Linked DNA regions of Struthio camelus. The protein of the gene in region 2 interacts with the protein of the main gene of each other region in a pairwise test. Links are inferred from orthologs where the notes say so. Each region holds a gene or a part of one and is shown on either strand. Other genes may lie near its edges.

Evidence for each region.
Region 1: the proteins of DMRTB1 (region 2) and QKI interact in a two-hybrid assay, tested with the Homo sapiens proteins (2 studies listed by BioGRID). The link is inferred for Struthio camelus from reciprocal best matches to the Homo sapiens genes DMRTB1 and QKI.

The regions. Positions count from the first base shown.
Region 1 is NC_090944.1:86,806,030-86,814,108, reverse strand, and holds the start of QKI (KH domain-containing RNA-binding protein QKI), read right to left. Parts: upstream 3,069-8,079; 5' UTR 2,389-3,068; coding exon 2,247-2,388; intron 1-2,246. UniProt on the Homo sapiens protein: RNA reader protein, which recognizes and binds specific RNAs, thereby regulating RNA metabolic processes, such as pre-mRNA splicing, circular RNA (circRNA) formation, mRNA export, mRNA stability and/or translation.
Region 2 is NC_090949.1:32,201,523-32,209,241, forward strand, and holds the start of DMRTB1 (doublesex- and mab-3-related transcription factor B1), read left to right. Parts: upstream 1-4,673; coding exon 4,674-5,088; intron 5,089-6,722; coding exon 6,723-6,955; intron 6,956-7,719.

The DNA of each region.
Region 1 (8,079 bases), on a different chromosome or scaffold from region 2:
AATACTTCCACCCAATTGCCAACGTAAACAGGAAAAGCAAAAAAGCTTAAAGGGATAGCAGAATTCTTTCTGAAGCTATTTAGAAATACAGATAATTTTTTTTTTTTAAGAAGGGGTGAAGAATAGCTTCAGCACTACTAACTCTTAAAAGAGCGTCTTCTGCAAGAGTCTCCACATCCCTCATTTTTGGATTCTAATACTTCACAAAACAGAGATTTCCAGAGCTTCCTGAATTTAAACAATCTCAAAAGATGCAAGGCTCTAGACATTCCTTTTTTCCCCTGTGTCCTTTCCTTATCTGGGACGTTTCTCTTCCTTTTGTTCTTTGACAAAATAAGTTTGAGGCCTTCTCTGGCTAAATACATAAACTTCAAGAGATTTAGGAATTAAAAAAAAATTAAAATGTATGAAAAGCTCATTTGTGCTAAAAAGTCTTCTTGGTCAAGTTTCTTCTTGATGTTTATTATAAACCTTGCTAATTATTCCAAATATGTCATGTTCTCCATCACCATAGAAAACATGTTCTAAATAGCAGAACACACAGATTTGAAAAGTAAAATTTATAGTGAATTTACAGCTTATCAAATTCTTTAAAAGACGGACTACGGGAAGCTATATATGGGGAGATTCTATTTTTATGTTAATATTCTCTACTTGTTTTTTTTTTTTAAAAAAAACTCCTCTATCATTTATTTCAGAAAGTCGAGTTTTCTCAATATGCTATTTTCTGTTGTACTCCAGTTGCTATCTCATTTTTACAGTCTTTGGAGAGGGCGGGGAGTTGTTCTATCAAATATAACCAGCTCTTTCATCTTCCGAGGTCAACAACTTCCCAAAGTTCGTTTAACCAGGAGGAATACGGCTACAAGCAAAAATCCTAACTCAAAATCTCGAAACTCAGTATTTCATGCTAAGATTCTCAAGAAGTTGAAGCTGCATAAGTAACTTCTGTTTTTATTCGGTAGCTTTATAAAATTTGTAGAGTTAAACAGTTCTCACTTTCCGGAAAGCCAAGGTTTAGATGGTAGGGAAGGAAAATCTTTTAAAAAGAAAGGCAAATCTGTGAACCCAAACAAAGCTAATCCAATATACCAAGAAGAAATGGGTCGCCTTATTTTCAACACAGTAGTCTGCCACTGTAGGGGAAAACGTATGGGACGCATGAAGTTTCTAGCTTTTAACGTATTTCAAAACGTAGCCATATATTTGTAAAGACGCACCCTTAAAAGAAGCTATTAAAAAAAAAGTGGGGGGGGGGGCGCCAACCCACATGAGCGGCCTCTCATCACTTCGAAGCAGGAATTGGGTGCGGGGCTGCAGACGGCGCCGGGGTTAGAGGCAGCAGTGGACGTTTGGCAGCAGCAGAGGAGGCAATTTCGTAATTTCTTTTTTTCACTAAAGTCATACGTAGGAGTCTTTCAAGTTAGTTTCTTTAAAAGGTAAGAATAGCCGACAGTCGAATTCGCTCGCTTCTCTTGCAATATAGGAAAATTGTAATTAGTTTGTGGCCAGTTTGGGGTGGGGTAGTGCTGGAGCTGAAGAAAGAGCTCGGCCCCCTCGGCCTTAGTCATTCAAGTTCAAGCAGCTTCCAGAACAGCCAAATCTCGAAACCAAACACCCTCCCAACCCCCTTGCTCCAGGCCCTCCGAGCGAGTCGGCTAACACTCCCACAAAACGCACCGCACAGGACCCTTCTCTTCTCCCAATACTTTCCGCCGTGAACGGGGAGCCACGCAGCGTTGCAAACAACGCTTTCCCCTCCTCCCCTACCTTCCCCCAAAGCACATTCCTGAGCTCCTCTCCTCGTCTCTACTCGCTCCCTCCCCTCCATGTGGTAGTCACCCTTCCCCCGGTTTTAGGAGACAGCGCGGAAAAAAAAACAACCAACAACAACAACAAAAAAAAAAAAACAGGGACCTGTACACTCAGGGCTCCCTCTTCCCCTCCCACTCTCTCGCCAAGTCCCCCAATACCACAAGCCAGGAATCAGGGCGGGGAGATCCCACACTTCCCCTTTGTTTTAAGGGCTCAGGCGAGGGCCGAGAACGAGCGATGAACACCAGCGAGAGAAAGAGAGAGGGAGAGGCAAACAGGCCCCAAACTCCCCACGGCCACCCCGGGCCTGTCGGGGCAGGGGCGAGGGGGCAGAGCGGGAGCCCGAGAGCAGCCTGGAGGCCCAGGCAAGGGGTGGGGGAGGCAAGGCAGGGCGGCGGAGCGGGAGAGAGGGGGCAGGGAAGCGCTTTTACCTTCGTCCAGCAGCCTCTCGAGGTGGTTGAAGATCCCACAGAAGTTGGGGAGGCTGCTCATCAGCTTCTTGTCGTTCATGAGCTGCATCAGGTAATCGGGGCTCGGCTTCGGCTTCTCCTTGGTTTCCATTTCCCCAACCATATTCCAAACGCGCGCAGAGACGGCGAGCGCCCGCACCAGCTCCGCCGAGCAACGCGACCGCGGCACGGGGCGCCCGGCTGGATCCGAGCGGGCAGGGAGGTGGTGGGGGAGGGGAGGGGGCGGGGAGGGGAGCTTCCCCGAGGAAGGAGGAGAAGGAGGAGGATTCAAATCCGGAGACAAACGCAAACCGGCCGCCGAGTCCAAGGGACCGAAAAAAAGAGGAAACTCGACAGAAACCCCCTCGCGGGCTGCGCCCTCCTCCCCGGGCACAAGGACCCGCCGCCGCCTCTTCTCGGTGCTGCTGCCGCCGCCGGGGCCGCTTCCCTGCTCCGTGCGCCCTCGGCCGGCGCAGTCCTCGATGTGTTCCCCCCCTCCTCCTCCTCCTCCCGCGCACACACACACGCTGAGCCCGGCTTCTCTCCTCGGCGCTGCCCGCTGTCTCCGCGGCGGGGGAGGGAGGAGGGGGGCCGAGCGGGGCGGGCGGGCGCTGCTGGCGAGGCTGCCGCTTCCGAGGAGCCGCCGCCGGTGTTTCTTCGCTGCTGCTGCTGTTGCCGCCGCCGCTGCTGCTGTTGCCGCCGCGCTGCGCCTGGTGTGTCCTCTCCGCCTCCCGCCGGCCCGCCCGCCCTCCCGCCGCCGCCGCCGCCGCCGCCTGTGGCTGGTGAGTGTCAGCCCCGCCGCCGCCTCCTCACTTCTCCTCAGTTCGCTCCGGAGTTCGCTTCAGTTCAGGCTGCGCTGGCAGCGGCAGCAGCAGCGGCGGCAGGAGGAGGGGAGGGGGCAGGGCCCGCGGGGGTGGGCACACGCCGAGGGGCGGGCGCAGGGGCGGGGCGGCCGTTAAGCGGCGGTGGCAGCGCCGCTTGGCGGAGCCAACCGTCGCTCCCTTTCCGCTCCGAGCCCCTTGGGCGGCGGCGGCGGCCGCAGCTCGGCGGGGGGAGGGGCGGCGAGCCGCGGGCCCGATGCGGAGGAGGGGGGGTATCTCTCCCCCGGCCCCGCCCCTCCGAGCGTGTGCGCGCGGATAGGTGGCGCAAGCGCGCGGGCGCGGCGCGGAGCGTCGCGTGCGGCTCCCGCGCCCCTCCCCTCCCCCCCCGCCTCCCGGCTGGCTCCGTAGAAACACGCGCGCGCACAGAAACTCTTCTAAACAAAGTCCTGTTACTTCACCGATTCCGCGCGGGGGGGGGGGGGGGGGGGGGGGGAACTGGGTCACGTGGGTACCCAAGGGGCGGGGACGGGCCGCGCCGAGACGCGCGTGCGCCTTTCGTTTACAACGCGGCTGCCGCCTCGCGCGGCAGAGGGGAAACGAGCTGGGCGGGGGCGGGGAGGGGCGGCTGACTGCGTCGCGCATGCGCCCGCGGGCTGTGGGCGGTGCGCGTGGCTGCGCGGCACGAGGAGCAATTTCTAATCCTTAAAGCGGCCGTGGGGGCAGGAGGAGAAAGCGGCGCGGGGCTGAGGTACTGGGGGCCGCGGCCGGGTTGGAGGGAGCTCCCTGGCAGTAGGCCTTGCGGGACGGCGCTGTGACCAGCCCCCGGGGGAAGGCAGAGGAGAAGGGGGGGGGTGTAGCGCGCCCCCTCCCCCCAGCCACCCCGCTGGGACAGGTGGCGTGTGCCGCTCTCCGCGCGCTGCGGGAGCGGTTTAACGGCCCCGTTCGAACGGCGCGGAGCGGACCGTTGCGGGAGGCGCTGGCTGGCTGGCTGCGCTGGCGCGGGGCGAAGGAGGAAGACAGGCGGTGCCGGTCTAGCCTTCCAGACGCACGCCCCCTCCCCCCCCCCCCGCGAGCCCGACCGACGCCGGAGAAGCGGCGGCCCCCGCACCCGGCGGGTGCTGCTGCGTTGTGCCGCGTGCCAACGGCACCATCCGCCCGCCTCGGCGCTCCGCGGCCGCCAGCAGCGCCCGCGGAGGCTGGGCCCGGCTCGGTCCTCGGCAGCGCGGACCACCGTGCAGGTCCCCGGCGCGGCACTGCCCCGGCGCCCGAGCCTTACCGGCAGGGAGTTGGACGCGAATCACTCGAAGCTTGTTTGGGGGGTTTGGGTGGGAGACGTGATGGGAGAAGCAGAGTCTGGCAGCCAGAATCAAAATTAACGTGCTCCACTGTAGCCGCAGAGGCAAAGCAGCTTGACGCGATTGTTTGTATGTGTTCCTGGTCGTCGTCGCCTTCCCCATGCTGCTACTTGATGTTCTTGTTTGATTTTTATTATTTAGGATATCATCAGAAGACCTTGATGCAATTATAAGTAATTTGGAAGAACTTATATTATAAAACTGGATAAAATATTTTCCTTTCACACTTCTTCTAGTTCACTGAAATCACGCAGTCATTGTTCATGTGCCTTGCCGTGCAGTGGCCCCTGCTGTACGCGTATATATGTCTAGATACTGCTTGTTGTAGGAGTATATGAGTCTAGATATTGCTTGAAGTTGATACAGAATTCATATGTAATGTCATATGTACCGCACAGTATTTGAAGAAAATTGAAAAACTGAGTTCATCATAAGTACTTCTTCCAAAACTAAAAAGAAGCACAACCGCATTGTCTTCTTGACAAGTGTGCAGTTTTATTGGGTGTTGTCAAGCACTGCTGTTGTACTTTTTCTAAAAGATACGCATTGACAAAAATTTAGAGAAAGTGTAGCTCTCGTATTAGTAAAACTGCCTTAGATTATTGCGTCCTTTCTGTTGCATGTTGGATTCTTCTGTTGTAAACATTTAGAACTCTTTAAAACAAGAGAATTTTTTGGATTTATGCTATGTAATATTTATTTACTTATATAAGATAAGTCATATTTATTGGTTGCATCATTCAAAAAACACAACCCCTGTATACTCAAGTAAAAACACCTACTAGTTTTATTACCAAGGAGAGAGTAACAATGTTATGAGCTGGTTTTTTCTTCAGTTTAGATTCTTAGTCCATGAACAGCATGCCTGAAGTACGCTGCAGTATGGCTATGGATCACGAAACAATACCCCATTTAATAATGAAGATACAATTGCTTTTTTTCCCCCCCTCTTGCTTTAAAGTTGTGCCTAAAGCCAGAACACACCTTATAGGCCTAACAAAACTGTCATCCCTGCATGTCATCATTGCAGATCAGTCTGAAAGATGATGCATTTGCTTGTAGCCATTTATTTACTTGTTTTTCACCCAGTGAGTGAAAGCTCTTTATAACCCTAAGAAAACTTGTTATTAAATCCTTCAATTTGATTAAGGATATCACTCAGCCAGCAGTCCTTCATGATAAAATGAGATGAACTTAGATAATATCAGAATAATTGTTCTGGAGTGCCAATTCTCATAGTAAAAATAGCAAATGGAGACTTTTTTCCAGCAGATTTAGTGCAGCTGTTCCCAGTGCTCCCTGCACATAAGGTGCTTACAGTGTGTGAATATGCACAGAGAAAACAAGCACATAATTTAAGGTAAGAAATGCTAGCAAAAGTTATTGAATGGTAACTGCCAGTTGTTTTACTTACCAATAGAAACAAAACAGCTCATCCCTAAGCTATGTTACATTATTTAGCGGGGAATAAGATGATGCACACCAGCAGTTACTGAGGAATAGCTATTGCCTTGCAAAATTCAAGCTCTAGTTTACTCTGTGTTAATCTGATTTGTCTTCTCGGTCTAAATAGTGCAAAAATTGAGTCAAATCTATGTGCTGAAACTGCCAATATAATTAGGCATAACTGACTTAGGAAAAATTCTCATCCTTCATCTTTCCACAAATATTTTTAAGACTGTGAATTTTTAATTCATTGGGAAGATACCTTCAGAGAAGCTAAATGTTTTGGCAATAAGTATTGCAGATAGCTCACCATTAGTTTTAAATAAGCACATCAGTGTGACATCTTACTTTATCACGTATACAGTAAAAACAAAGTTATCTAAAAGTCTTTCCAAGCATACCTTCTCATGTTCCTCTCTGTCTCTTCGTTCCTGCACTTCCATGCCCCAGAAAGGGGATTTTAAGAGTGCGTGGAAGACGCAGGTAGAAGTAGTTCTGGTTAAAGGGCTGTGAAACTCAGAGCTCCCATGAAGACTGACGTGCCTGGAGCCTGATCTACAGAGGAGCTAGAAATGCTGTTGCACTGTACTGGATTTTGTTACTTTCCCATGAGGGGAAAAATATGTGGACTTTTTTTGTTTTTGTAACCAGATCCTATTTATAGTTCTGTAGATAACAACCCAAAACTTTAAATTCTGTGGGGACACAAGCAGAAATACAGATCTTTAACCCCTGTGCTTTCATCTAGGTAGCCCTTCCTGTACCATTCAAGCTGCAGTATTCTCCAGCAGTTTCTCTTTTAAGGGGTGAAGTTTTATTGCGTTAATCTAATCTTGAAATAAGAAAAACTGTGATAATTCCAGCAGCAGCCTCTGCGTATTACAGTAAAGCCCTTGCACTGATCATAAAAAGCAAACTCAATTACTGTTATAACATTCATATCTGATAGCAGCTTGGGAAATAGGAGAGCTGAAGGCTGATGACTACTGGGAAACATACTCTTTCAGTTAATGTTGGCTGTTGCTTCCACTGTTTCTGTTGGTTGTGTCTTCCAGCCTATAAGCCTACTAGTCTGTAATCTCTTCTACGTGCTAACAGAGGCACTAGACCAAGTCATAGGCATTTGCAGCTGGACATCATCAGCTTTCTGCAAATACTATCTGAAACAGTAAGGTAACAGTACCTCCCTTCTTTAGGGAAAGAAGCAATTCTTCAATTACCCCTTACGGTCACTTAAGGAAAAAGACCACTTTAGGTGCGTTTGTCATCCAGTATTGACTTGTTTGTGGTATATAAAACACTGCATTTGGGATGCAGCAGTTAGACATGGCCACTACCAGGTGGACATTGAATCTTCATTGATCTCTGGAAGGTGATTAACATGTGAATGGAGTAAGATCTAGAGCCAGACTAAAAAGCTCAAGAAATCGACTGTAGTGATACTGTGATGCGTCCGAAAGTCTCTTTAAAAAACTCTTTCATTTGCCTGTGTTATTAAGATGTCAGATAACGTCTCAAACAAAAGCCATAGTACTGCATGGTTCAAAGTAATAAGCAAAGGGCCTAGTATTCATAGCCAAAAAAGGGGAAGAGTTTAAAAAACAAAACAAAAACACCTGAAAGTCTGTGTTGCAGTCCTCGAGTTCATTACATATTAATGTTAAAGCTTACCTGTCTATTCCGCATGCCTGGTGTATCCTGGCTGTAGAAATGGGCGCTTAATCCAGCTGGAGTGGTGTCTTTAAACAGCAGAGAGTTGAAGAGATGTCTGAGTTCTGTTTAAATCTCAAGATAAGCTTGATCCATTAAACATAGCCTGGTTGTAACAGGTAGACCTAGGTTCCATTGCTGCATGTAGTCCCGGAAAAGATAATGCGTCATTTTTGCTCACCAGCAAAGTGGTCACTGAAGATATGGAAGATCTGGGATTTAAGCATACTTTAGTCTGGAAGGATTCAGATCTGCATCTTCTATACCTAAGGCACTGTAATCTGTACAGCAGCTGGGAAGAGAAGGGTAGTATGCCTGAAAATCTCTGCTGTTGGAACTGAGCCATTCCACAGGTTGGAGTAAAGGTGCCAGAAGAAGACTGTGATTAGCCTACTTATGCAAGAGTAGAAAGACCTATATTCTGCTCTCTCCTCCTCAGGTTATTTAGTGATTATGAAGTCATTAGGTTGGGGAGAAAAGAAA
Region 2 (7,719 bases):
AAAAACCACACACACACACACACACACACACACACAGAAGCATGCTTTGCATAGCTTCTCTAATTTTTGAAGATTTTAAACTCATGTACGAGCTCCATCCAGTTTTCTCTGACCAAAACATAGATTTTCACCTCTTGGAGACAGTAGATGGAAATCAGCATCTAATCCTGCTCCATCTAAAACCTGTATAACAATAAAAAAATCCACCCCAATGGAACTTCCGTTTGAATGACGGAAGATAACATAAAGGTGAATCTGCCCATATGGCTCTAAACAAGTTAACTGGAACCAGATTTAAAACTGGTTCAACCCAAAAGCATTTCGGCCATTTCAGCTCTGAAGGTAGGTGTGATCTAATCGTATTGAACTGTTTTAGACCGAAGTTTTTCCTAGCATTTTTAAAAAATCTGTTTACTACAGTACAATTCCATGGTGATTAGAGAAGTGGAAAATATAGTATAAGGAAGGAACTCCAAGACTCATGTTCATGGTCATCTAGGCTTGCTGTGCCCAGGATTAGACAGCCTCATAAGAATATTAACCAACAGCTGATCCTAGCAATTCTTTGACAGACACGATTGAGGGATACGTAGCAGTGTGAGGTTTACTGGTAAAAGAGACATGCTATAACGCCGATCAGTGGAATGATGTTTTAAAGGCTTTGATACTTTTTCTAAGGATCTTCTCCTAAGCATGAGCGTGACTGCAGAGGAAAGCATGAAGGTGTGTTTTCAGTGCTATTTAAAAAGATGATATTCTGGGCCAGGTGAAGGTGAGAGTCCGCATCTTGACAGGGGACATGGGCTGAGAGGAATGATGAGGACAGACTGTGGAAGGGATTTCTCTTCGGGGAAGAGAAGTAGGATAAAACTGATGCAAAAGAGGGGGAGGAATGCAAAGGGAGGATGACATAATCGAGAAGGACATGCTTTGTGGAAGGCTTCTGAGTGAAAAACTGTGGGCAAAGGAGACTGCTTTAGTCTAGACAGGTTTTCTGGCCATGTGGATGGGGAGAAAGGACATCTGTAACTGCAGTACAGTGTGGGGAGAACCAAGCTATATTTAAATTAACTAATACCCCAGGGACGTTGTGAAACGGAGACGGAAACACTTCCTTCCCAGCAACAGGATAGGGAAGGGAGCTCTGATGTTCCCTGGCTGTTTGGAGAAGCTTTCTGGCCAGCCAGCTTTCTGTGCGGCTTTCTGGGCCGCACCTGACTTGAGACATCCAGGAAGGCATCAGGACATTGACCTGAGAGCTTCATCAGTCAGTGCAGGGAGCCACAGCACCCAAGAGGGAGTGATGCCAGGAGATTCGTTGCCAATCTGCAGGTGAAGTCAACTTATTTGTTGAGGATGCATAACAGAAGGGCACTGGATGTGTTGCGGTGCGGAGCATCTAAAGCCTGGCTAGTCCTCATGAGAAAAGTCCTCCTTGTGCAGGTAAACGTCCTCATGTTAATTGTATCATATTTGATAGCAATAAACAAAGGACTCGTCAGTTATAACGTAGAAGAGCTGATAATGCTACTCCTGTATCAGTTTTTATCAGCTTCTGAACTATGCAGATAATGTTCAAAGAGAGGATTTTCTCTTCGCATGTGATGTCTTAAAAATTCAAAAGATATTCCTGACTGCTATGCGTATGAAAACATTTAATTTGAAGCAAGGTGAGTGCAAATGTTTGTTCGTGGAGATCTCAGACTGCAAGAATCACGAAGCAGAAGCTTCTGTGTGTGATTTTTGAACATTAGTCATTATAACTGAAGCAGTTTCAAAAAGCGTAAGCAGTCTTCCACAATTGCCCACCCTTGGAGCAAATTTCTTGATTGTGTTGTTAGTGCCGTAAGAAATGTCAAATCTAAGCAGAGCAATTGCCTTGCCAAAAACATTTACTGTATAAAATATAAGCTGAAAAGTCTGAGAAAGAGGAAAAACCCCAAACCCAGTTTTCTGCGATTCAGCTTAAAGACAGCCAGTGTTTTGATTTGTTCCTACCTAAATCGTGGCTTTTCTTTACTGTGTTTCACATACAAAGCAACCTGCATACCAAAAGCATGCACTTCAACAACCCAGAAGCTCGAAAGAAGTAGGGACGTTATTGCTACTGAGTTCAATACCGTGAAATCAAGCAGGTAGCTTTCCCTTCATTTTGGCAAGATAATAATTCTTATAAATCCTATTGTACTACAGAAGTCCGTCTGTACACACTTTATGTTACAGCCCCATTATATGATACCTCAAATATTGCAGTAAAGTAACTAAGCAGAGGAGAAAACAGAGTCTTTCGTATGCCTCATTTTCTTTCCAATGAGAACAAAGGAGAAAATGATAATTGACTTGAAGCTGCATGCACGTACAATTCTACATCACATTCCAAACATTTATTTTTGCAAATTGCTCTGTCTTCTCTGCACGGTAGTCTTGCTGATGGTGTGTGATAAGCTAACTCAAATGTATACATGAACACGTAACGAGACTGGAGCGGCCGAATTCTTCAAACTGTCTGCAGGAATACATATTCATCTCACGAACAAAATAAAATGCTCACTTTTCTATAGAAAGCACGTCTAGTCATGTTTGAAACAAATTATACGGAGAGCAGAATAAATCCTGAATGCCTCGGTGAAAACTGTTCAAAAGAAAAACCCACACGGCTTTCAGAGCTATGGTGTATGTATGGAGAAGACGGTTACTGCCCATGACCAGCATACCTTTCTTGAGAGGGGAGAGAGAGAAGTTAAGTATGTTTGAGCAAATGTCTCGAAAATTAGTATGATAGGAGTTGAAAATTACTATGTAAATTGTACGCAACCTACCCTTCTCCTCCACTATTTAAATATCCAGACAGACACAGAACGTGTATCTATGCAAAGATGTAATTGCAGTTGTTTAAAATGTGTCATCCGCGCTCTTTGATTCTACAGCTGAATATGCACATCCTCAAAATATACCAAAAATATGGGGCAGGAGACTAGGAATATGCTAGCATGCCGTATTTAATACAAAGTCAATGTTCAGAAGCATTACGGGATCATCATCGGCTGTTCAGGCCCCGGCACAAGCAAGCAGCACCTCAATGCTGCATTTAACAGTGAATTGCATTGAAGACATATTAACCAAGTGCTTTTCTGAACCGGGAACAAATGGTAACATTTTCTGGTCACACATTCAAAGCTATTTAGCCACAGTGCACCCGGGCCCATGCACGCGAAGGTGCCTTTCCGAACAGCCCTCTCGGAGACTTCCTGGGAAACAGGATTCCCGTTACGAGGGCAGGATACTGATTACATTTGCATACGGGCAAATCCCGAGGTCTGGGAGACGTGTGATCCCAAGGTCTGCAGGCTGGGATTGCTGCTGTGCTGGGCGACCTAGGGACAGAAGCTCGCGAGCATTTGAGAATTTGGGTCTAAATTGCTTTGGAGAGCGGGTCTTGTAAACAACTCCGCAGGAGGCTAACTCCTCCTGGAGGAGAGCTAAGCTCCGAAGGGGCCTTTTCCAAGTCAGAAGGCTGGAGGCAAGCTGAGCCCTGAGGCTCGCAGGGGCCAGGGGGTCTGGCTGCTCAGGGCCGGTGCAAACCAGACTGTTGCTAAATCTCTTAAAGAGGCAGCCCCGGCCCGGAGAGGCAGCGTGGTGCACCCAAGTCTTGCAGGACCGGCTGCTCCGCAGCAAGCGTTTCTGCAAGGCTGCCGACCCTGTTGCATGTTAGTAGAATTGCGTCGGGGCAGCAGAGAGATGGGACTTTGTGCTCTTGAAACGGATCGGGGGGGAAAAAAAAAGCTTATCACAAGTGCGTGGTGCTAGTTTATTTTCATAGCATTCTTTGTAGCGCTACAGAAGCTGTTAGCATCTCAGGATTTGAAAACAGAATTAGCTATTGCATGCGTGAGGCAAATCAGCAGTGTCATTCGGCACACCGCCCCATGCGGAGTTTTGCCCTGGGACTGGGCTAGTGTATGAAAGCCTGCTTTTGTAGCTACGAGCAGTTAACAAATAACACAAGGGTTTTACGAGCAATGCTGAAGCTGGGGCGTGCTTGCGTTGCTCGTTGCAAACCTGTGCCTGCTTCCTGAGCCTAAGGAGCGCTGAGTTTTCAGTTCTTCTAAACAGGAGACTGGTCTTTGGCATGTGCTTTCCCCCCTTACGGCAGAGCCTTGCTTTGAAAACCAGAATGATGAAATAGTCTTTTTTTTTTTTTTTTTGTGTGTTGCTGCTGCTGAAGCAGTCCCTCTCTCCTGCTGGTCAGGAGAAGGATACTGCAAATTGGAAACAAAATGAAACTGCTGCCTGTGTTGAAAGCAAATGCGAGGCAAGAGAGGGAGCGCAGCTGCTGGCGCGCCAAACAGGGAAGACTGATCATTTAAGCGCGCAGTGTACGGGGCTCTGGGTTTCACACCTCCGCGCACACGCCTCCGCCGCCGCCGCTCCACACAGTCCGAAGGGAGCCTGCCCAAAACTGCCTGCCTCCTCCTGCCCGCCGCCCCGCCAACCCCGCCGGGGCAGGCCTCGCCGGGCGCCGCGGCCCCCAGCCTCCGGGCAGCAGCGGGCCGGCTCCTGCCCCGCCTGCCCCGCTCGCTACACGCCGGGGCCGCGGCCATTGGATATATAAGAGAAGCGTCGCCGGCGCCTGGCTGAGCGAGCTCGCTCGCGGCGGCCGGGCCGGGAGCGGCATGGAGGCCGAGGAGGAGGCGGCGGCGGCGGCGAAGGCGGCTCTGCGGACGCCCAAGTGCTCCCGGTGCCGCAACCACGGCTTCGTGGTGCCGGTGAAGGGCCACGCCGGGCACTGCCGCTGGAAGCTCTGCCTCTGCGACAAGTGCGCCCTCATCTCCGAGCGCCAGAAGATCATGGCGGCCCAGAAGGCGCTGCGGCGGCAGGCGCCCGACCCCTCGGCCGCCGAGCCCGCCGGCGAGGGCCCCGGGGCGGCCGGCGCCTCCGAGCAGGGCGGCCCGGCGGCCGGCCGCGAGGGCACCAAGGGCGCCCCGCCGGCCGGAGGCAACGGCCGGGGCATGGCGCGCCGGGGACCGCCGCCGCCGCCACCGCCGCCGCCGCCGCCTGCCCCCGGCGGCGCCCCGCTCTGGGACTACGGTAAGGGTCGCGCCGGCGCCTGTCCCCGACGGCCATCCCCACCCTGCCCCGCTGTCCCCCGCGTCCGTCCCCTCCCTCCGTGCGCCCGGGTGAGCGAGGCTGCGTGTGTTTGTCCTGCGGCGGCGGCGTTTCCGATGGTGCCGGTGGTGCCGGGGTCGTGCGACTTTGTAGCTGCAGGAGCGATGCGGTCAGCTGCTCCGCTCCTGCAAGTGTTGCCACGCCGGGAGTTAAAGCCGGAGCGTTGCTCTTCTGGAGGGAAATTTGGGAGGGAAACCGAACTGTGACCAACTGCGCGAGAGAGGCGCGTGCGCACGTGTCCCCGAGCGCTGCCCCCTTGTTTACAGCTTCACAGACACGTCCCTTCAGCAAGAAAAACACTTAAAAAAACTGAGCAACGGCAAGTAAACGGCAAAGTTACTGCCGCAGTCGCCTAGAGCACGCGTTTTATGATAGCGCCATAAAAGAAGGAGACCTTTTGGCCTTCGTTCCTGTAGCAACGGCTTAGCTTGGCGCGGACCGCGTGGTGCAAAAGCGCGTTTGTATTTAAGAGTGGAGCATAGATTTTGCAGATGGAAAAGGTGTATGGTCTGTCACCTCTTAAATTGCTTCCTTTAATAGAGTCTTTCATGTGACTTGTCTAGTCTATTACTATTTATTATAGTAATTTCAGACTATTACTATTTACTGTGGTAATTTTACAGAAATCCCGACAGGCTGCAGTAGCCGTTAGCGTGGGCCTGTGGAGAGATGGCAGTTTAGAAGACAAAGAAAATGCTGGTCTGAGAAGCCCGGAGAAAAGAGTCATTTCAGACATCCCTAGTTCCCACCTCATCTGTCAATAACTGTTCCATTTTTTCGGCTTGGTTTCCTAAGGAAATGAGGCTTATGGATCATGCTGGCTGTGCATGTTCCTGTCAGTCTTTCCCTTAATAAAATTTTTAACCTGTTGACCGATTTCAAGCAGAGTTAGGGGCAAACAGCAGAATTATAGTACTCCGGTAGATTTATTCGAGAAGCAAACCCTTCCACTGCTACATCAACAGGGGGATGGTGCAGACAAGAAAGACCCTATTCATTTTCATGCAGCCCCTTTTTTTTTAGACATCAGAGAAGCCATGTGAGAGTTCAGGCACAAGATAAAAACCCAAAGGAAGCAGTTGATTCCTGCATCTGAAACTGCCGCTCTTTGTCACGGAACCTAAAAATGAGGACTTCTCTGCCTCTTAACTTTGGAAGTGCTAATAGTCCTGAATGTAGAGCTGTATATTATTTCTCTCTCTATATATGTTTTTTTTAGTTTTGATATATTTAAGTCTTAAGGCAGGTTGTTTTCTCCTGCTGTTGTGGCTATACTGAAAGAATAAGACTCTGCAGTCAGTGCTTTACTAAGGACTAGCTTCACAATGCACAGGAGGGTAGAAGAGACTGCAGCTCCTTCTGCAGTGGTTCGTTTGCCTGTTGCACCTTTCCTTAGTTCCTTAAAAAGATCACAAAAGAAGTTCATCGGGGTAAACGTGAAACCAAATGGCCAGGTGCTCCTGGCTGAGAGTGGAATTTGGCCCTGCAGCTATTTCGGTTGAACTCCACAGCACTACAGTGACGCTTCTATTTGTTCTTTGCTAACTGTTTCCCAGCTCACCGGGCTTTTCCTCCAGAATACGTGGTTAACCCAGAGTACCTGGAGAGAGAACCTCTGAAGGTGTACCCTGGGCGTTCTGGGGTGTATCCTTACCACCCGTTTCCCGTGGGATTTGCCATCAATCAATCAGGCTGCAGGGGAGCACCACCACCGGCAGGGATGTCGCTGCAAAGAGGTTTCCGACACGTTCCCAGCACCTATGGGCCAGGGAGCGCAGCTTCTCTGTCAGTAAGTAGTGGTTTTTTTACTTACCTCTGGAAAGACTGTTGTCTTTGTTTTTAGCTGCCTTCTTGCTGTGAAAGTAACCATGAAGAGTTACCTGCTTATCAGTTACTTCACAGCATCTTGATACATTGCACTGAAGAAACCAGGAGCAAGCAGTGACGTTAATAGCCTGTCCTGAAGCCGGGACATCAAACTCACGCAGTTATGAGGGGCTAGATTTTGTATTTGGGGGCTTACACCTCCTGCTGATGTCGACAGCAGCCTTTTGGGACGATGGCAGCTGGTCACTGACGTGGTCCTAGTGTACCAGCGTAGATGGCACAGAATGTGCACCGGGAAGCCTCTCTTCTTCCGTGTAGGACAGAAGTCATTGGGTGGGAAGGTATCTTGGGTTGGCCAACCCGCCGCAGCCACAGAGAAGGACAGGGAGAAATCTCTTTCGGCTTCCACAGGATACTGATTCAGCACAGTCAGGTGTTTCTGTTTTGGGACATTTAGTTTCTCAAAAAAAGTGGAAAATTGTTGTGGTTAGTGGAAGTTTCAAATGAAAAATGACTAACGGAAAACCCTGTTTTCTATTGAGAAAAACGTTGAGCAGAAAGTTGAGATCGTATTGAGGGGGAACGGACAGGTGTATTTTGTAAGGAGTATGAAAGCTGAGGGTGGCGAGCAAAGTACCCAGCTGAGGGATAGACCAGGGCAAGGCTTAGCCCACACCTTCAAATCACAGAGAAATGGTAAGGAGCAAGATCCTAAACGGCCTGTCA